Arabidopsis thaliana: one gene and its partners. The protein of the gene in region 2 interacts with the protein of the main gene of each other region in a pairwise test. Each region holds a gene or a part of one and is shown on either strand. Other genes may lie near its edges.

What was found.
Region 1: the proteins of AT5G52650 (region 2) and AT1G01800 interact in a two-hybrid assay, tested with the Arabidopsis thaliana proteins (one large-scale study listed by BioGRID).
Region 3: the proteins of AT5G52650 (region 2) and AT4G23050 interact in a two-hybrid assay, tested with the Arabidopsis thaliana proteins (one large-scale study listed by BioGRID).
Region 4: the proteins of AT5G52650 (region 2) and AT4G32190 interact in a two-hybrid assay, tested with the Arabidopsis thaliana proteins (one large-scale study listed by BioGRID).

The regions. Positions count from the first base shown.
Region 1 is NC_003070.9:291,479-295,601, reverse strand, and holds AT1G01800 (NAD(P)-binding Rossmann-fold superfamily protein), read right to left. Parts: upstream 2,357-4,123; 5' UTR 2,207-2,356; coding exon 2,193-2,206; intron 2,103-2,192; coding exon 1,850-2,102; coding exon of another isoform or gene 1,846-1,849; intron 1,548-1,845; coding exon 1,482-1,547; intron 1,393-1,481; coding exon 1,216-1,392; intron 1,092-1,215; coding exon 714-1,091; 3' UTR 516-713; downstream 1-515. Other genes in the region: AT1G01810 (uncharacterized protein), read right to left, coding at 1-360.
Region 2 is NC_003076.8:21,354,994-21,358,880, forward strand, and holds AT5G52650 (RNA binding Plectin/S10 domain-containing protein), read right to left. Parts: upstream 2,227-3,887; 5' UTR 2,011-2,226; coding exon 2,008-2,010; intron 1,894-2,007; coding exon 1,845-1,893; intron 1,647-1,844; coding exon 1,367-1,646; intron 1,273-1,366; coding exon 1,140-1,272; intron 863-1,139; coding exon 788-862; 3' UTR 548-787; downstream 1-547. Other genes in the region: HSP90.1 (heat shock-like protein), read left to right, coding at 1-154; AT5G52655 (uncharacterized protein), read left to right, coding at 2,813-2,815, 2,899-2,980, 3,069-3,232.
Region 3 is NC_003075.7:12,078,304-12,084,800, forward strand, and holds AT4G23050 (PAS domain-containing protein tyrosine kinase family protein), read left to right. Parts: upstream 1-1,756; 5' UTR 1,757-1,808; coding exon 1,809-2,155; intron 2,156-2,346; coding exon 2,347-2,779; intron 2,780-2,888; coding exon 2,889-3,014; intron 3,015-3,117; coding exon 3,118-3,640; intron 3,641-3,767; coding exon 3,768-3,808; intron 3,809-3,897; coding exon 3,898-3,966; intron 3,967-4,058; coding exon 4,059-4,159; intron 4,160-4,284; coding exon 4,285-4,363; intron 4,364-4,454; coding exon 4,455-4,553; intron 4,554-4,639; coding exon 4,640-4,708; intron 4,709-4,804; coding exon 4,805-4,854; intron 4,855-4,960; coding exon 4,961-5,042; intron 5,043-5,118; coding exon 5,119-5,213; intron 5,214-5,308; coding exon 5,309-5,405; 3' UTR 5,406-5,953; downstream 5,954-6,497. Other genes in the region: AT4G23040 (Ubiquitin-like superfamily protein), read right to left, coding at 236-319.
Region 4 is NC_003075.7:15,542,822-15,548,389, forward strand, and holds AT4G32190 (Myosin heavy chain-related protein), read left to right. Parts: upstream 1-1,978; 5' UTR 1,979-2,230; coding exon 2,231-2,293; intron 2,294-2,579; coding exon 2,580-4,868; 3' UTR 4,869-5,036; downstream 5,037-5,568. Other genes in the region: PANK2 (pantothenate kinase 2), read right to left, coding at 82-134, 254-469, 639-894. UniProt on the Arabidopsis thaliana protein: Required for the initiation of starch granules biosynthesis in leaf chloroplasts. Involved in determining starch granule number and size in chloroplasts.

The DNA of each region.
Region 1 (4,123 bases), on a different chromosome or scaffold from region 2:
TCTCGGCAATGATAGTTTAAAGGATTTGTCGAAGTATGAAAACCATCTTCGCAATTCTGCATCCGTTTCCGGCTTTGTTCCGATCACTAGCTTCGTATTGTTGTTACTATCCTTCTTCTTCTTCTTCTTCTTGTCCCTCTTCCTGGTTTCTCGCCTACGGTGAGATTTCTCCTTCCTTTGCTTCATCTCACGACTCGCGGCGGATAACGCCACAGACAACGACGATAGATTGATTGAAGTATCCTTTGCAGCATCTATGGCCTCGATCGCTTGCTTGAGAGAGCTGAAATTGAACGGAGAACCACCGTCATTGGTCCGCCGTCTTGTTGTGGCGGTGCTTCTCTTAGTTTCCGGCTTCATTATGATCAATTACAAATTACGGCTACACTTTTTTTCTTTTCCGAGACTTAGGGCATTTATATAGTCTCACAGACTCACTTAAAATGGGCCTTCTAGCAGCCCAATAACAATTTTGCGTCACGAGAACGCGCACAGGCAAACTATCTGAACCTAGGTGGGGAAACACGCCGATAGGATTCAAGAGGAAAAATACATTATTTTGGGAATACAAAACCACATAAATATTGAAGAAGCTTTATAATATAACCAAGTTTGGTTGATATATAGTTTGGAGTTCACTTTATTTTCTGCTAAATTGATGAGATAATAAAATATACAAACCAACACCCAACCGAACACATAAGATTGAAGAATCAAAAGTTGGAGACATTGGCGCGATCAAAGAAAAGACCAGATGGGTCTCCATTAGGGACCAAAGCCAGTTTCACTGGACTCGCTGCACCTTCTTCAACGCTCAAGATCCCAGTGTTGAAATTGATTTCTGTGTTTACGAAACCAGGACAAACACTGTTGATGATGAACGATTTGTGTCGCTTAGCCAATACTCGTGTCAATGCGATCACTGCAGCTTTCGATAGTATGTATCCAGACATCACTGTTGGCCAACCTTTGACTTGTAATGCACCTTCTTTGTAATCCTTGAGGTACTCATTGATCACTTCATCTATTTTCTCTTCTGTTAGGTTCTCAGCATCACTCAGCACTCCTTTTGCCCATTCATTTGAAACATTCTGCACACAAACAAGATTCATCCTTTACCCAACACCAAAATACGAGAATTAACCAGCCAAAGAGTCAATTTCATAAACGATCCCTTCCTTTAAGTTTATTGACTAGAAGAAATCAAGATGGTACCTCTAACTTTCCCATGGTGGAAGCGATGCTGACGATTCTTGGGGAATCAGAAGATTGAAGGAGAGGAATCATGGCCTCGCACATTCGCTTAACGCCGTAGTAGTTTGTTTTAACACACTCCTCGACTATCTCATATGTATCACTCATTATCTTGGAAATATCAGTTGGCGCACCAGCCTGCACTAGTAGTCATTTATATGTAAGACCACCTCTCAAGCTTGTGCAGTATATATTTCAAAAAGGTAAGAGAAAGTAGGAAAGTGTACCTCAGCAATCTGAGCTTTGAGAACATCAACATTAACATTCGCCCCTCCAACTCCGGCATTATTAACCTGAAGACATATATACCAAACAAGAAATCAGAAAAGAGTAGACAGAACAGAATTGCTATTTTCAGATAATGCTCGCTTAAGAGTTATATCCTTTCTAGTTAACATGTATGTATCCTAGTCGCAACAGACAAGAAGTTGTTGAAGAAGTATCTCAATCCCTAAAAAGGATCAGATCTTAGTTAAGAAATGTGATCATGGAAAGGGAAGTGCAGCTACCTAATAAGATCCGACAGTGAAACTGATTAAAGCCACGATTAGTAGATCTAGATTGATGATAATAGGAAAAGAAAAGAGAAACTTGCCAGAATATCGAGTTTGCCGAAGCGGGTCTTGACAAAAGCAGCAAGAGAAGCGATGGTGTCTGGGTTGGAGACATCAAGAGGGTGAAAGGAGATGGCTTGATCAGAAAAACCATTCTCAGTCTTGAGCTTTTGGACAGCAGCAAGACCCTTGTTTTCATCTCTCGCAGTTAAAACCACAGTTATCCCATTGTTAGCTAGTTGCCTGCAAATCTCAAACCCAATCCCTTTGTTGGAACCAGTAACAACTGCAACTCTGGAGACAAACAGGAAAAAGAAAAAGGAACAATCAAAATCTGAAAAAGATTTCAAGCCGAGGTTAGACAGAGAGAGAAGAAGCATGAACCTTGGGTCTGCCATTGAATTGTTGAAAGGACAGAGAAAAGTCAAGCCTCATGCTGTTAACTAAAAAAGTATATACAAAAAAATAGGGATAAACAAGTGTGTGCACATGGAAGATTAGACACCGCTATATTTCTTATATTTTTTGATAAGACCAATATTTCCAAATTAGCATCAAAGGAGAATGGATCATCATTATAGTATATATTAAAAAAAGTGAAAGGAGTTTTTTCAGTGTCATACTATATTTATTTAGTCACAGACTAAACGTTTTAACAAGAAGAAGCGTGACACTTGCTTAATTAATGCAACTTATTTAATTATCAGTCTCGTTTTAGCCTTTAGCATTGATAGCCCTAAGAAAATGCTATCAGTGTGGAGGGTCCAAAGCTATTGGGCTTAAGCCCACAAATCAACACGAATTGATGCATTCTTCTTTTTAGGCTTTCCGCTTGGATCGATTCCCAAGGGAATATGTGAAAACATAACAAACCGAAAAATGTAGGAAAAAAGCAGCATACATATTTGCTACTCAAACTCAACTAATTTGTATGCGCATCTAGAAACACTTTTCAACACAAAATATAATATTAATAAGAAATATCCAGCAAACATTCGTTTCTAAAACATAGTATAGAATTAATTTGAGTTCATAACATATAATTCTCATAGAATAGAAAGAAGTGCATAACATATAATTCTCATATAATAAAAAGGAGTAATTATAATCATCAAAATCTTCGGAAGTAGACCAAATCACATGTCTTCTTCAGGCTCTGCAACATCATTTTGTCCTAAATGAAACCAGAAGAGTAGACAAACAATACACTCGCACACGGAGAACCCAACCATAGCTAGAATTGGCACTATTGGATAGAGCACAATAAAAGCCCTAAATTAGACAGCAGAGGAAAATTTAACGTTAGCAGAGACGGTACGGACTGAGAGTCTCCGGTGAAAGTTTGCATAGTCGACATCGTTGAAAGGGAATTCAGACTGAGATTCGTCGTTGGTGAGTGAGACGACAGTGGAGAGAGATTAGACAGCAGAGGGAGATTTGACGTTAGCATGGATGGTGTAAGTGTGCAAGAGCTAGAGAATCCCGAGGTATAGTGAGAGATTTTGCATAGTCGACGAAGGCGTTGAAAGAGAATTCAGACTGAGATTTGTCGTTGGTGGCTGAAACGACGGTGGAGGGAGATTTGACGTTAGCAGGGACGATAAGGATTGAGAGCCTCTGGTGGAATTTTGCATAGTCGACGGAGGCGTTGAAAGAGAATCCATGACTGCTATGTTTTGTTTTTTTTTCTGCGAATAAACGAACAAATACTGTACAAAAACCAAACCCTTTCTCTCTTCAAAAACCCTCATGCTTCTCTCTTAAAGAAACTTAGTCGCCGCTGATTGTGTTATCGGTTCTGGTGGCTCTTTTAACACCAAAATCGGAATTTTTTAGTTTTTTCGAGCTGTATTTTCGTTTGCCTTCGTTTATGCTACATATAGTTTTTTTCTTAACATATATGTCAGTACAATGTAATAATTTTTTTTTTTAGTTTTCTCGTAACATGTACCCTACTACTTTTTTTTTCCAACAGTTTATCATATACTAACTCTTTATGTAAACTCGCATGTTAATCATAAAAAAAACATTAGTTAAATATTTGACCTCAAATATAATAATGACATGCACAGTACATTGGATATATGTTTGGATGTTTTTATAATGTTGAGGTACTTGTGGTTTCGGCAAATGTGATTTGGTGGTCCCTTTTTGGTCAGCGTTATTCTTGTTAAAAATCTCTCTTTTGGCCCTTTCCTTTGTTAAAAATCTCTCTTTTGACCTAAATAACGTTTCAAATATATCAATATATATTATTAACAAAAAAAAAAACAGTTGCTCTGATGAAGCTACAAATAGAAATGGCCAAAAGAGAG
Region 2 (3,887 bases):
TCTTGATGAACCGAACACTTTTGCTGCTAGGATTCACAGGATGTTGAAGTTGGGTCTGAGTATTGATGAGGATGAGAACGTTGAGGAAGATGGTGATATGCCTGAGTTGGAGGAGGACGCTGCTGAAGAGAGCAAGATGGAGGAAGTCGACTAAGAGATGAAGAAATTGCTCTTATGGTTCTGAAAACTTCTAATATGTCGAGTTGTTCTGAGTTTTAAGATTTTCCAAAATGTCTTTGTCTTTTTTTTTATATCTTTAGAGTTACTTGAACATTGTGACTACTTCTAGGGTTGGGTTTGTGTCAGGTCTGTTATATCGTGTGGTGGGTCTGTCTAATACTGATTCAAGTTTTTGTTATTCAGCTAAGGAACTTTTCTTGTTTCTGAACAAATCTTTTGGTTCCCTAGAGTAAAACTTGACTTCCAAAAGATAGACTTCCTAAGATCACTGGAATAGATAGGAGTGACAACTTGACGTGAAAGGTAGCTTGGCTATAGTAATTTTAGATCTGACAAAACGAGATCAAGAAGTTAATAATTTTCACAACACCAATTTGTTATCGCTTAAAGGTTGATTGATTTGTTCAATAGGGGGAATCATATTCTCGCATGCTCGAAAAGGGGAGAGAAGATGGAATGAACATAACTTTAAATCGGATGTTTGATTCAACAACAAAACTAAACTCAGATAGAGATTATGAAGGATTCCGGAATCTGAATTACAAAAGCAAAATTTAAAGCTGAAAACTCCTCCATGGTCTTACTGTCACCTAAAGACATTTCTTTTTCAAGGCAAACCTGAACCAGATGGTGCAGCTGCGCTGTAGCCACCAGCACCACGGCCAAAACCACGGCCACTTCCCTGATAAACAAGAAAGGATGTTAGAACAATGGCAACCAAACAAAGAGAAGGCGGGTAAATCAAATCACAAGGCAATTATATAACTATAGACTTTGAAACACTTCACAGCTAAAGTAAAAGATTTATGTTCCTTGTAACTAAAGTGATAAAGAGAGACTAAATATGTTCATGGTTTCTCAGGTTCAGGAGCTCTATGATAAAGACTTCAAGAGTAGCACATTATATGACGTTGGTGAGATAGAGAAGTAAATAGAAGGTATGGTCAGTGAGAATTTACTTGGAAAGATGGCTGGTAATCTGCGGGAGCTCCACCCTTTTCACCTCCAAACTCACCACCAGCTCGAGGACCTGCACGGTACCCATCACGGTCACCAAACCTGGGACGGTCTCCTCCTTCATGGCGAGGTCCTCTGAAATACAAAGAAACCCAAACCATGTCAAACAAATTAAAAAAAAAAAAAGTTTTTGCCAGACATGAAATGGGTTAAGCAAAGAGTTAATCACCTTGAGCGATCACCAGGTGGGCCACCAAATGGACGACCACCAGGCTTAGCTGACTTCTTCAAAGTAGCAGGAACAACATCAGATGGAAGATTAAGATAAGTTCTCAAGAACTCGATCCCTTCATTGGTCAAAAACCAATAGTAATGCATCCAGGCAAATGTCTCCCTAACATACTCCTTGGATTTGAAACTCTGCATAAGCTTAATCACTTGTAGGTTGGGGACATCGATCAACGGATGCTTAGCAAGATTGAAATCCTTCTTCGCAAAGCAAACTCCTTCTGCAAAAATCATAGAACATATGATAATCAACACAATGTTCACCTTCTAAGCCAAACATCATAATTGCTACCATAACTAGTTAACCTAAACTAGTTCAAAAATCACAATGTTCATCGGCATAAGCCTAAAAATGAATCAATTTACTCACAGAAGCTGAAGAAAACAGAGATCTAAGAACAAATTTAAGAAGAACGAACCTTTGAAGAGGTACTTGCAGATTTCTTTGCGGTTAGCCTCTGAGATAATCTGAGAGCAAGAAGGAAGAAGAAAATGGTCAAAATTCAACGAAACAACATTCTGAGACACCGGAGAATATGATGAGAATAGAGAAATAGATCAAAAGCAGAGCTTGTGTGTTACCATTGTATCGGTAGGAGATCTTGCTCGAGCAGAGAGTCGCACGGAACTTCGAGAGAGCAAAAAACTAGGGTTTTCGCAGGACTAGAGAAGACGATGACTTTATATGCTTTGTTTTGGGCCTATAATGAGTTCATTAAATATGGGCCTTAAGTTTGGGCAGTATCGGAGACTGAGAAACTCAAAATGATCTTGTCGAATTGAATTAAGAATTGGGGGTTTATCAAATTATTTGATGATAACTATATTTAATATTTTATTAACCAATACTTACACTCGTTGTATTTATATTTACGATGGTTTATCCTCTCTTTTTTGAAAAGTTTATATCTTGTAAATTTTGTGACATACGTTTAAATATTATTTACTATAACTTTGATTTTTTTTTTTTTTTTACTATAACTTTGATTACTTTATATATTTTTATCAGATTAGTTAATTCTATAAATTAACATATATTTTTATTAATTACATATATTATCTTGTTAAAATAATTTCCAGTTTAATTAATTTATTTGCTCCATATTGTAACAAAAAAATCTTTGAGAGATAAATGTATTTTTGTGTTGTTTCAACAAAAAAAAAAAGAAGATAAATCTATTTTTGTGTCAAAAATTTGTTATGAGAAATTGTGACATATGTCGAAAGAGATTGTGAAATTGAGAGATAAATGTACTTTTATAGATTATTTAACAAAAAAAATCAATTTTCAGTAATATATATAGAGGTTGATGAGCAAGCGAGTTTGTAATCACATTCTTGTCCATCATCTTCTCTTCTCCTTCCAAACTTTTGAGTTTTTCAAAAAATGGTTAGTTATTTTTCTTAGTAAACCTATTTATGTGGTTATATAATAAATTCACTAAAGCTTTAGTTTTATTTCATTGTTTGTAGTCGATGACGATTGTATTCAAGCATCCAGGATATCCCGAAAAAAAATGGCGAAAAGGATTCAAAATTGCAGGTGGTTTTCCAGGTACAAACCTACACACACCCAACAATTATATTCAACAAACGAATTTTGAACAATGTGAATGATTGTCATCTTTTTATTATTATATTAGGAGTTGATGTCATAAGTTGTGGTATCATGGACGACGTATTTGCAGTGAAGGGAGAAAATATTGATCAAGATAAGTTACTGGAGAAAATAAAAAAGGTTTTAAAATCTGTCGAAATCATTGATCACACCAAATACCCTCCGGATTATTTTTTCTATGATTTCTAATAATGATGTTTATTTTTCTTTGGGCAAATAATGATGTTCATTTATGTTTTCATATTCTATCAAAGTAATTGGATTTGGTGTAAGTCTTAAGATATATTAGTCCATTCTTATAAGTTGTAAGTTATAAACTTTTTGTTCAAGAAGATTGATTTTCCTTGGATGCATAGTCGAGAGTATGCCACTAAAAATAGCTTAACCATATTGGTCTACACTGTCACCTTATTTCTTCCTCTATAAACGAATTAAAACGAAAGCATACAACGCTATTATGAGATTTGATTTGGTCTCCCATCAAAGAGACAGATACATACTTTAACAAAAGCTCAAAACAAATTTGAGAGAGGGAATGGTATATGATTACAATTCTTGTTTAAAATATGATTAATAACTTCTTCTAGAAAATGTTTTATATGCAAACCAGTCAAACCATCATTTGATTTACATCTATTTAGAAATGTATTTATCTATTTCATCACTAAGAATGTGTTTTATCACCACCTCCAAAATGTGTTTACAAACAAATGAAGCCAACTACAAATTATTGATCTTGAAATCTGTCGAAATCATTGATCACACTGAATACCCTGCAAATTATTTTTTTTATGATCTCTAATAATGATGTTTATTTTTATTTTTTACTTTTATTTTTCTGAGG
Region 3 (6,497 bases), on a different chromosome or scaffold from region 2:
CAGATAATCGGATAAACTAAAATTCAACACAATTAACTCCAATTGCGACCTAAACGCATCAAGATGAGCTTAACAACGATATAACAAAAGCGTAGAGGAGATATAATTCGATGATCCAACGAACAACCACTTGAGCGATTCGAGAAACTTCCAAAAATACTTCAATCAAAAACAAAATAACATCTAAACAATAGAAGGAAGACGGAAAAAACCCAGGGAAGTGTAATTGAATCACCTCGAGCTTACGAACGGCGACGGCATTGGAAGAGCCGGTGATGGTCATGAAGGTGTCAATAGCTTCCTGAGTAGGTGTCGCCATTAGAAAAGAGAAAGCTTGAGAGAAGTTTTTCGTCGGAGATTTGTGTTTGGAGCTGGAGTGAAGGAGGAGGCAAGAATTAATATATGTTGTAAATCACAAAAATTGCAGTGAAGAAAGGAATTGGATCGGTGACTCTTAAGATTTTTAAAGCCTTTTTTAGGGTCTTTCTTCTTTTCCATTTTTTTTAATTCTCCTTTTTTATTTGGTGTGGATTTTCTTAAACTTTATTTTCTTTATTCTTTTTGTATATTTTCGGTGATATTCAAGATATTATTTTCAGAGAACTTGAGATAATATATGGAGTGTCCTAATCTGAATAACTAAATAAATAATTATTCAGTTGAAATTGGATTTTTTTTTTCAGAGTCTTTATATTTTATAAACTGGAATTCGAGTCAAATTCAGAGTGGATTAAACTTATCTTTTTAGTTTTTACTAGCCAAGAACTTTTTGACCTTTTTTTTTAACATGATATTAATTGTTATAGTGTATATACATTAAAAGTTAGATAATTTTTAATGTACAAAAAAAAAGTTACATAATTTATTTTTTTTCACACCAATTACATATTTTATTTGTCAATTTGACAGTAAATATGGAAATAAGCCTTAAAATGTAAAGGCTTTTCGGTCCAACAACGAAAAACCAAAACCAAACCCAAAACTAAAATATCCAAAGATATCCTCACTTTATGATCATCCCAATCTTCCCTCTATATAGTGCCTTTAAAGGAGCTGTCATGTTCTCTTTCGGCCGTTTGTAATATAAGAATTGTCGTTTTTGTCCAAAAAAAAGGGTTGGCTTTCAGTTTGTGTCCCAGAAACAAAGTAAATCTTTAGATAAATTGAAACAAAACTAGCTTTGTGACTCCAATTAAACTTTGCTTCCTCTAAGAAACCTTATGGAGAGTATTATTCTACAATGATTTGAAGTATACTACTAATAATTGATTACATTTAAATTCAACTATAATTTATTGTTATTGTTCTTCAATCAACTTGAACTTTGAGTTTATTGGGCACATTACTTTTAGAGGAATGTGAATGTGAACATTGAAGAGACGTGTATTTTATTTTCTTCTTGACAAATACCGTTGGAGGTATAAAAACACCATCAAACTCAGGCCCATTTGGCAATGGCGGCAACAAGAATGGGTATTATATTGAGGTTAATTTCGTCAATCACCACTTTTAAATCGTGACAAATTCGTCTATTATCTCTCAATCTTCTTCAACCTTCAATTACATCGGCAATTCTACAAGTGGCAGCATCCTATTAGTAACAAACACACGTGGCGTAAGCTAATGCGTCGTAGTGTTTATAATAGCTGGGGTTTGTTAATTATGGCGTCACGAGTGATTTAAGAAGCAGCTGAAAAATAATAAACAATGAGGGAATGCCAACGTTTTAAATTATATTTTTAATTTGTGAATTTTCATCAGAGTCGGATCTTGATGCGACTGCTCAAACAGAGTCACCGGCGATTACGATGGCCGGAAACAACTCGGAATCGAGTCTCTACCAGGTTTTGGTGGAGTGGTGTCAGAGGATGGAGACGAGTCAAGCGAGACTAAGGGAGGATGTTGATGACTTATTGCTTCAGGAGGAGAGTCGAACCGGTAAGGAATCGGCGACGGGATTGGAGACGGACACGGAGAAAGAGGCTGAGGTAGAGGTGGAAGCGGAGGCGGCGGATTCCTGGGATAATCCGACGGCGACTTGGGAGAGAGCTGTTTCAGGATTCTATTTCGCTGATAGTGCGTATCGGACTTTGATGGATTCAATGGGACACGCGATTCATGTAACATCAGCTGCGTCTGGAGAAATTACATTCTGGTGAGCTTGATAAGTTCTTCTTCTTCATCTATGGTGTTTGTAGATCAGGAGCTTATAGTTCTTCTAAGTACTGTTTCATTGAATTGTGTGTTTAAGTAGTTAAACAAAGTTATATATAGCGATTCATTGTATATGCAAGTGGACATTTACTATTTGTTTCTGAGTGGAGAGATTCTTTTATTATTATTCAGGAGTCGTTCTGCTGAGAATCTGTACCATTGGTATGCTGAGGAAGTTGTTGGCTACAGAACTATTGATGTGCTTGTAACCGAAGAATACCGTAATTCCCTTACTGGTATCAGGAATAGGGTGTGCCGTGGAGAGACTTGGACTGGTCAGTTTCCGTTTCAGAAGAAAACTGGTGAACTATTTATGGCTTTGGTGACTAAAAGCCCTGTGTATGAAAACGGTGAGCTGGTTGGTGTTGTTACTGTCTCGAGCGATGCAACCCTTTTCAATAGGATGCATCCACTAAGTAATGAGCATCAACAACAAGCTCGTAGTAATAATAGACATGAATCAAACTTGAGAAAACATCAGTGGCACCTCCCGAGGCCTCAGATCGCTGCAGCATCACAGGTTCCAGTTGTCCCACAATATTCATCAGCTGTTGCTTCAAACCTGGTAGATCTCACATCATGAATGTTCGAAGTTTCTCAGTACTTTTTTTTATATAATAATTCGTGTGCAACATGAATGATTGTTTGTTTTGCTGTTTTCTGCACAAACCAAGAAGGCGTCGAAGCTTCTACCACAGAGAAATGGAGATGATTCCTTCAATGGAAATCATAATTCGAGGAGCCGAGATGAAAATGTTCCGGTTGTTGCCTCCACAACTTTCGAGAAGTATGGCTCACTGGTAAGTCTTCGTTGGCTCCTTAAACAAGACACTTCTCATTGACATTTCTTAGAACGATTATTGTCTCATGTTATAAGCTAAATCTGCATATACACTAGTGTAGGCGGATAAGTTTTTGGGGAAGCTGCAAAGGAAGATTACTGGCAGCCAAGGAACCGAAGATAATGAGCCTATCTTAAGAAACGGTATCAATAAGTCAGCATGTGGCAGTGGAGGTAGTTCTAAGGCTTCTAATGCAGTTACCTGCACGGCTTTCAGAGACAATGGCAATGGAAAACCAAAAAGGGCTGAAGTTAGAATTTCAGATGTCTATGGAAATGGAGCTGAGGGTTTGATACATAATGGAGATCGCTTTCAGTATATTGGGAACCTGGGACAAAGTAAACCTCCCAGAGGACTAGAGAGTGGTTTGGTGTCTGGCATGCGGGGAACAAAAATGTCGGACCTAAATGGTGAGATAGAAGATGCTTGGAATACTCGTCTTAGTGTTGATCCCTTGCCAATTCTAGGAGTCAACAGCGGTAGGCAACAAAGTCCTGTCAACCAAAGGAATAATAGATTAGTTACTGATTCGTCATGTGAGATACGATGGGAAGATCTACAACTTGGGGAGGAGGTCGGAAGAGGTGTATTTCATTTACCAAAGTCTTACACTCGTTTTCACGTTTTAGATATGCAAATTCAATTCAGATCTGTGTCATTGCTGTTTAAATCAGATTACAAGTATTTCTGATGCGTTACATTTTCTCACAGGTTCATTTGCTGCGGTTCATCGTGGAGTTTGGAATGGATCGGTGAGTTTTCTGTAATTTAAGATAAAATAAGGATGATTCTAGTATTAGTTGCACATGGATAACTAACTAGTCCAATCTATTTGGACCAGGATGTTGCTATTAAGGTTTACTTCGATGGTGATTACAATGCGATGACTTTGACGGAGTGCAAAAAGGAGGTATGTATAATTAGTTCTCTCTGTTATGAATTGTTTCTAGAAGTTACTCGTACCAGACAAAATAAATCAGTTTTGATCAATAATATCTTCAGATCAACATTATGAAGAAACTGAGACATCCGAATGTGCTACTATTTATGGGAGCAGTATGTACAGAAGAAAAATCTGCCATAATCATGGAATATATGCCAAGGTGAGATTATTGACGTATGGATCTGGAAGTAGTGTTACTCCTTATCGAGTGTGTTATATTATGCTGCAAGAAATTGCAGATGAATACTCTGTGCTAAGTTATTTCTATACGGTTTTGATGATTAGAGGGAGTCTCTTCAAAATACTTCATAATACGAATCAGCCATTGGACAAGAAACGCCGTTTAAGAATGGCCCTTGATGTTGTAAGACTCTGATCTTCCAAAAACCTCCCTCACAATGAAAGAAAAAAATATGAAAGGCTGATTATATTCGGGTTCTCTGTTGTTGTTGCAGGCTAGGGGAATGAATTACTTACACCGCAGAAATCCGCCAATTGTACATAGAGACTTGAAATCTTCCAATCTACTCGTGGACAAGAACTGGAATGTCAAGGTACAAACAGTTTTCTCAAGTTACATTTATGAAGACTTGTAAAATGAGTTTACTATTGCATGGACTTTCAACTCTTTCTTCCCTAGGTTGGAGACTTTGGGTTATCAAAGTGGAAGAACGCAACCTTCTTGAGTACTAAATCCGGGAAAGGAACTGTAATGTTTAACAAAAGCCATTTCTGATTCTTTTAATCCACAAAACAGTCTTGGATTTCTGTTACTAAACATTGTTCAACTTTTTTCTATGTGCAGCCGCAGTGGATGGCTCCTGAAGTTCTCAGAAGTGAACCTTCGAATGAGAAGTACGTTGGATATAATATTAACCCTTTTTTGTTCTCTTTTCGAAGACATTATTCAATAACTTGAACATTTTTTTGGACTAAAAGCTCAATGCTTTCGTTGTAATAGGTGTGATGTGTTCAGCTTTGGAGTCATCTTATGGGAGCTAATGACTACGTTAGTACCATGGGACCGTTTGAACTCTATTCAGGTACCTCTCAAATTCTGTTCTTATGAGATTATAGCTTGATCATAAGATTGTAGTAATCTTAGCAACTTTAAATTAGGTTGTTGGAGTTGTTGGTTTCATGGATCGACGATTAGACTTACCTGAAGGATTAAATCCCCGGATCGCATCCATAATACAGGATTGTTGGCAAACGTAAGAAGACGCATCTGTAAATTGTTTCATCAAATACACCCTACAAACTTAGGGGCGATTTTTCTTATATTCTTTGTTCTAAATTGTTGAAACAGTGATCCAGCAAAACGACCGTCGTTCGAGGAATTAATTAGTCAGATGATGAGCCTGTTCCGCAAACCAGGGTCAGGTGCGCAAGAAGAAGACGATTGAGAAGGTAAACAGTACATGGTTAAAGGATAGTTCACAAAGCAAAGGACGTGAAAAGAAAACGAAAGCATCGTCCTGATCACTTACTATACAAATGTTTCATTGTGTTATACCAAACTACTATTTATGTTTTCATTGAAAGAAAGAAAGCAAAAATAGCTAAATCAAAGTAATATACAGTAGAATCTTAGGTTAGTTTAGTTAAACTATGCATTATATAAACTGTTGTCGGTTTATGAGCTAAGTTGTAAAATGGGATCTAAAAAGGCAGAGGCGCAGAGGCCAGAGGAGGACTCAGATGTAATTTAAGAAGTAAAAGGGTGAAAAAGAGAAATACGAGAAAAACTGTGAGATTGATGGTGTCTTGTAGTGAATTGTAATGTAGTTGGTTTTGGTTTGATGGGGTAAGAGAAGGAGGAGTGACAATTCGTAGGCATTGCTTCTTTTGCTTTAATATTCTCTTATTACAGCTTCCCATCACTGCGTCGTCTGTAGCTTCTCAGCACCTAATTATAAGAGAGAGTCAGAACCCTAAATAAAACTTTTTTTTCAATCCTTATTCGTAATTCCACATTACAGCATCTTGAAATTGACGCAGTCACAAAAGCATAATTAAAAAAAAAAGGATACAAAGATGGGTCTATTATACCGAGTATGTATTGTGCATGCATGTGACGTGGGTGAAGGGAACTTCTCTTATAGAAGTATTGAAAAAGGAGAAATTTTGGGGGATTGAAAATATTTGTCTGTTTGTCTGGTTAGGTCAGAACAAATCACATCGAGCTGCATAGTAATATTTCGTTTACAACACATGGTTGTGACCTCTAGACAAATAAACTTTTTAACAGTTTTCGCTGTTTTGCCTTGCATGTATTTCGTAGTATTTCAATTTATATGTAACTATATTTCAATTGAAACATCTTTACCATATTATTTTCTTTTTTGATGCCAATTTCTTTACCATGTGTTTGCTCTTGTGTTATTTATGTGTGATTGATTGATTGACCGTGTCGATTACCCAAGCGGAATCTTGTAAAGGGATACTCCGTCACCGTAATACAGTGACAGCATATTTAATTTAAAATAATATAAAGT
Region 4 (5,568 bases), on a different chromosome or scaffold from region 2:
AAAGAGCGAGCTAAATATATGCAGAAGGAGCCTCAAAAGGTGATAAAGATAAAAACAATCAAGTCATAAAAATGCGATTACCTTGATAACACCAGTCCCCAAAGGCAAGGTCTTTGAACTCCAAGGATAAGGATCTATTCATTTAGTTGAAAAGAAATGGAGAAGAAGACGAATTGAAGAGTAAATCACCAGAAATTGATCTTATAATACAAAACAACATTTCATACACTGAAAAGGATAAAAGTAATAATACCTCGGCGATGAAGCTGCTTGGAATGAATAAAATCCAAGCACTCATTAATTTTGTGAGTCTCAAACTTGACAAAATGAAGTCTACCACCAAGAACAGGATAACTTCTCAAGTTGCCATTGGTAATACCCAATCTCTCCTTGATCGTCCTCTTCCGCTTATCATCATCATTAGAGTAGTCCTCATGTCGTGAAAAATACAACAACTTTATCAAAGAACCTGCAAATAAACTTAAAAGGGTTCATAATTCTCAAACATAGCACTTAAGAAATAAACATCGAAATTGCCAAAACCAAGAAGTGACACCAAATACTACTGGAAGAACCACAAGCACTAGATCAATGGTCAACTACAGTGAAAATAAAAAAGAAGTGAAATTTGTTGTCACCTCCGATATCAAGAGCCAAATGAGAGATATCATCAGACTGATTAGGCAATAAAATGGTGGGATCTCTCTCCTCGAGGTTCCCCTGAATTTCGGCTTTGCTTAGATCAAGCTGAGGTCTAGAGCCTGATCTGTGGATCGGAGTACCAGAAGTAGAAGGAGCCATATTTTTATCAGCAGCAACAGAAACCTGAGATTTTGCTTCAGCTTCTCTTTTATTGTCAAGAATTGGATCATACTCATCCTCTTGACCCGCCATTTTTTTTTTTTATTAAAAAATAAAAAAGGAACCCAACCAAACCCAGAAAAATCGGATCACCAACAATTGCCTAATTCTCCCAAACCACCACAAAACCCTTCCTTGCAAAGTTTAAAAAGTCAAACGACACGAACTGATGATGATAAGACTTTCCAGGGTAAAGAAGTAAACTGTTCGAGCTTTTGCTAATACGATTATACGACTAAGCTTAGAATCGCTTAAGCAGGCTGAAGCGGACCTAACTCCAAACAAAATTTGTATTTATATATAATTGTTTGTTAACTAATTAACTACCACATAAATTTCCCAAAAAAAAAAAAAAACTACCACACAAATTTGTAGTTTTTAATGAATTTGTAAGTGGATTAGGTTTGGTGTTTCACAATAATGACCAAACTCGAACTCCACTTGCCACTTATGAGTTTTTCCAAGTCATAGATGAGGATTACTGTGTTGGTTTCGATATCTTAATTAATCCGTCACACTTAATTCTTTATGTTTTACGATTTTTTGAAGTTTAAGATTTTGCTAACATTACACTATTCACGATAAATCACTTTTTCAGATTTAAGATATTTTTCGCCGGAATTTAGAAGGTAGGATATCCTTTAAAATGCTTTTGTGAAGATGGATTATATTATACAATTGGACTATTTGGTGTAGATAAAATCTTATGTGGGAAACAAATATTTTAGGAACACTAAACCAAAAATACCATTGTTACATTTTTTAATGATAAAAAAGTTCACTTGCAAATGTAACAAGATACAACCTCGTTGGGTTGATATGTTAAGAAAACTAGCTGATGGATTGGTTTTTCATTGGGTCTATTGGGCCAATGTCATGGGCCTGATGACTTTTATTCAGTTTCTTAAATTTATATTCCAGTTTAATATAACATACTCTTTAGTGTGTAAGCATTTCTAACCACGCGACTAGCCGACTACGCGAAAGAAAGAGAATTGTCATACTAGAAAACCGTTACCACGTACGTAATTAAGAAGAGTCCATTATTTTTACAAATAGATCCCTTGGCCGTGTATTTGGACAATGCCGACATGCATCTTATGAATAAGGGCAAAAAGGACTTTCGAGTTTACTGGCGACCACAACTCGCAAGCCAACGCGAGCCTCTATTTATTATTTTGTATCCTTTTTTTTGGTAAAAGAATTTTGTAACAATATCCATTCCCTAGCTAGATTCTTCTTCTTCTTCCTTGGATTTGTTCTCGTAAGCATTCTTCTCCAAAACGCCCACTTGTTAAATTTGATCCAGTGGATTTGGGTTTTGTTCCGTCTTTAAGCTCCATGGCGATTGCATAATTATGCTCTCAGGATGGGTTTCTCTCAGGCCATTCGCTTGAATCTTGCTTCCTTCTCCTCTCCCTCTCCCTGCGATGTTTGTTTCCTTACCTTTCTCTATATTATCCCCTATATTTTCATTTATATATCGCTGCTGATTCACAACACTTTACTTACTCTTAACTTTATCAAACTTGAATTTTTGACTTTTGCTGGCCTTGTTCTGATTGTTCCTTGTTCTGGCTTAAAAAGATTGCAAATTTCAATACTGTTCCTTTAATTTGAATAAGTTTGCTTGCATCCATATTGATTAGTGTCTGTCCAAAATAATCAAACTTTTGATTTTGATTTTGATGTCGGCCATATGATTTTTTCTTATGCAGTATTGTTTGACAAGAGTAGTAAACCATAAGCAGAAGAGTCTTGTCGCATTCCCGAGCATTACAAGGAGAAAGAGACATCTTTTACTGAGTGTTCAATCAGTCTTGCACAATACAAGACCCAACATCAACGACAATGGCTCAGCTGAGTCTGCAAATGTTCTTTTCGATAAATTATTTGCTCGGACACACAGATTGGAGAGACAAACCAATCAACACTCGGTTTATCCTGACGATGATGATCTCCCCTATTCAAACCTTGGCGTGCTTGAGTCTGACCTTGAGGCTGCGCTAGTGGCCTTGTTGAAAAGGGAAGAGGACCTGCACGATGCTGAGAGGAAGCTTCTCTCTGACAAAAATAAACTTAACCGGGCAAAGGAGGAGTTAGAAAAACGTGAGAAAACAATCTCTGAAGCTTCGTTGAAGCATGAGAGTCTACAAGAGGAGCTGAAGCGGGCAAATGTGGAGTTAGCTTCTCAAGCCAGGGAGATAGAAGAGTTAAAGCATAAGCTAAGGGAAAGAGACGAGGAACGTGCTGCTTTGCAATCGTCCTTGACTTTGAAAGAGGAAGAGCTAGAGAAGATGCGTCAAGAGATTGCAAACAGAAGCAAGGAGGTTTCTATGGCTATTTCTGAATTTGAAAGCAAGTCACAACTCTTAAGCAAAGCCAACGAAGTTGTCAAGAGACAAGAAGGTGAAATATATGCACTTCAGAGAGCTCTTGAGGAGAAGGAAGAAGAATTAGAGATTTCTAAGGCTACGAAGAAACTTGAACAAGAAAAGCTTAGAGAAACAGAAGCCAACTTGAAGAAACAGACAGAAGAGTGGCTGATAGCCCAGGATGAAGTGAATAAGCTTAAAGAGGAAACCGTGAAACGTTTAGGAGAAGCCAATGAAACCATGGAGGACTTCATGAAAGTGAAAAAGCTTCTGACTGATGTAAGATTCGAGCTTATTTCTTCTCGGGAAGCTTTGGTATTTTCCAGGGAGCAAATGGAAGAAAAAGAGCTACTATTGGAAAAACAATTGGAGGAACTCGAGGAACAGAGGAAAAGTGTGTTGTCATATATGCAAAGCTTGAGGGATGCGCACACTGAAGTTGAAAGTGAGAGAGTAAAGCTCAGAGTTGTTGAGGCTAAAAATTTTGCGCTTGAGCGGGAAATATCGGTCCAAAAAGAATTGCTGGAGGATTTACGAGAGGAGTTGCAGAAAGAGAAACCATTGTTGGAGCTAGCTATGCATGATATATCCGTTATTCAAGATGAGCTTTACAAAAAAGCTAATGCGTTTCAGGTATCACAAAATCTACTTCAGGAGAAAGAGTCAAGTTTGGTGGAGGCCAAACTAGAGATTCAGCATCTGAAGTCCGAACAGGCTTCTCTAGAACTATTACTGCAAGAAAAGGATGAAGAACTCGCTGAAGCTCGAAATAAATTGGGAGAAGTGAACCAGGAGGTAACAGAGCTAAAGGCACTTATGATCAGTAGAGAAGATCAGCTTATGGAGGCAACTGAGATGCTGAAGGAGAAAGATGTCCACCTTCACAGAATAGAAGGTGAGTTGGGCAGTTCCAAGCTGAAAGTCACTGAAGCTGAAATGGTGGTGGAAAGAATTGCAGAATTGACGAACAGACTGCTTATGTCAACCACCAACGGTCAAAATCAGAATGCAATGAGGATTAACAATGAGATAAGCATTGACTCAATGCAGCAACCACTAGAGAAACCTCATGATGATTACGGAATGGAGAACAAACGGCTGGTGATGGAGTTAAGCTTCACCAGAGAAAATCTACGGATGAAAGAAATGGAAGTTCTAGCGGTGCAGAGGGCTTTGACATTTAAAGACGAAGAGATCAACGTGGTCATGGGAAGATTAGAAGCCAAGGAGCAGGAACTCAAGAAATTGAAAGAAGAAACGATCAATGACAGTGAAGATTTGAAAGTGCTATATGCCTTGGCACAAGAGAGAGTCGGGGAAAAAACAATGGGTGATCTGGCCATAGAGATGCTTCAGCTTGAGGCAGCTAACCTTGAAGTTGAAGCTGCGACCAGTGCATTACAGAAGCTTGCAAAAATGAGCACGGAACTGTTAACTCAAGCTGACATGAGCATTGAGGCCGACACAACTCACACTGTAATGCCAGAGAGAGGGTATTCAGAAGGAAGTAATGAGTGTCTTGGTGAGGTAAAAACAGAAGTTGTCAGGCTCTGGTCCTTGACAGAGAAACTCCTGGAGAACGCAGGAATCGTTGCTGGTACATCTACATGCATGGAAGGTGTAATTTTATAAAGCTTTGATTAACTTTATAAGCCTAATCTGTATGATTCTTTTGTGGATATGTAGAATTACTGGCGGTTAAATATGTTTACTTGTCACTGTGAGCAAGTCTATTGGAGAGTCTTAATCAAGAACTCTTTGCATTTTATAATAATAAATATTAAATAATTTAAAGTTTAGAGTTTTTATTGAATCTTTACAATTTTTTATTGTCCAATGGTGGTGGAGACTTTAAGAGGATTTCTTCAAAAAAAATAAAGATTTTAAAATAAAATATTATAAAGTTTTTTATTTGACAAAACTTAATAATTATTAGAAATAATAAAATTGTAAACATGCATCATGACATAAAAGCAAAAAAATATATAGAAATGAAAATTTGAAAAAGGATAATATTTAAGCTTGATTCGGACCAAAATTTTGCCATATATATACTCTGATACTCAATCAAATCATATTTCAATCGTTCATGCTAAGTACAAAAGTCGGGTTTTGATACTTAATAATTACTACAAATATTAAAATTGTATACATACATCATGATATAAAAGCAAAAAGAAAATATACAAATCAAAAAACTTAAATAACGACTAGATTTAAGCATTATTAAAACAATGCATAATCCTTTTTTTATATAGTTTTTTCTCAGCCAGTCACAAAGCAACACAACTAAAGTCTTTAACAAATGTTAAAACTCTAAGCTTAGGATCAA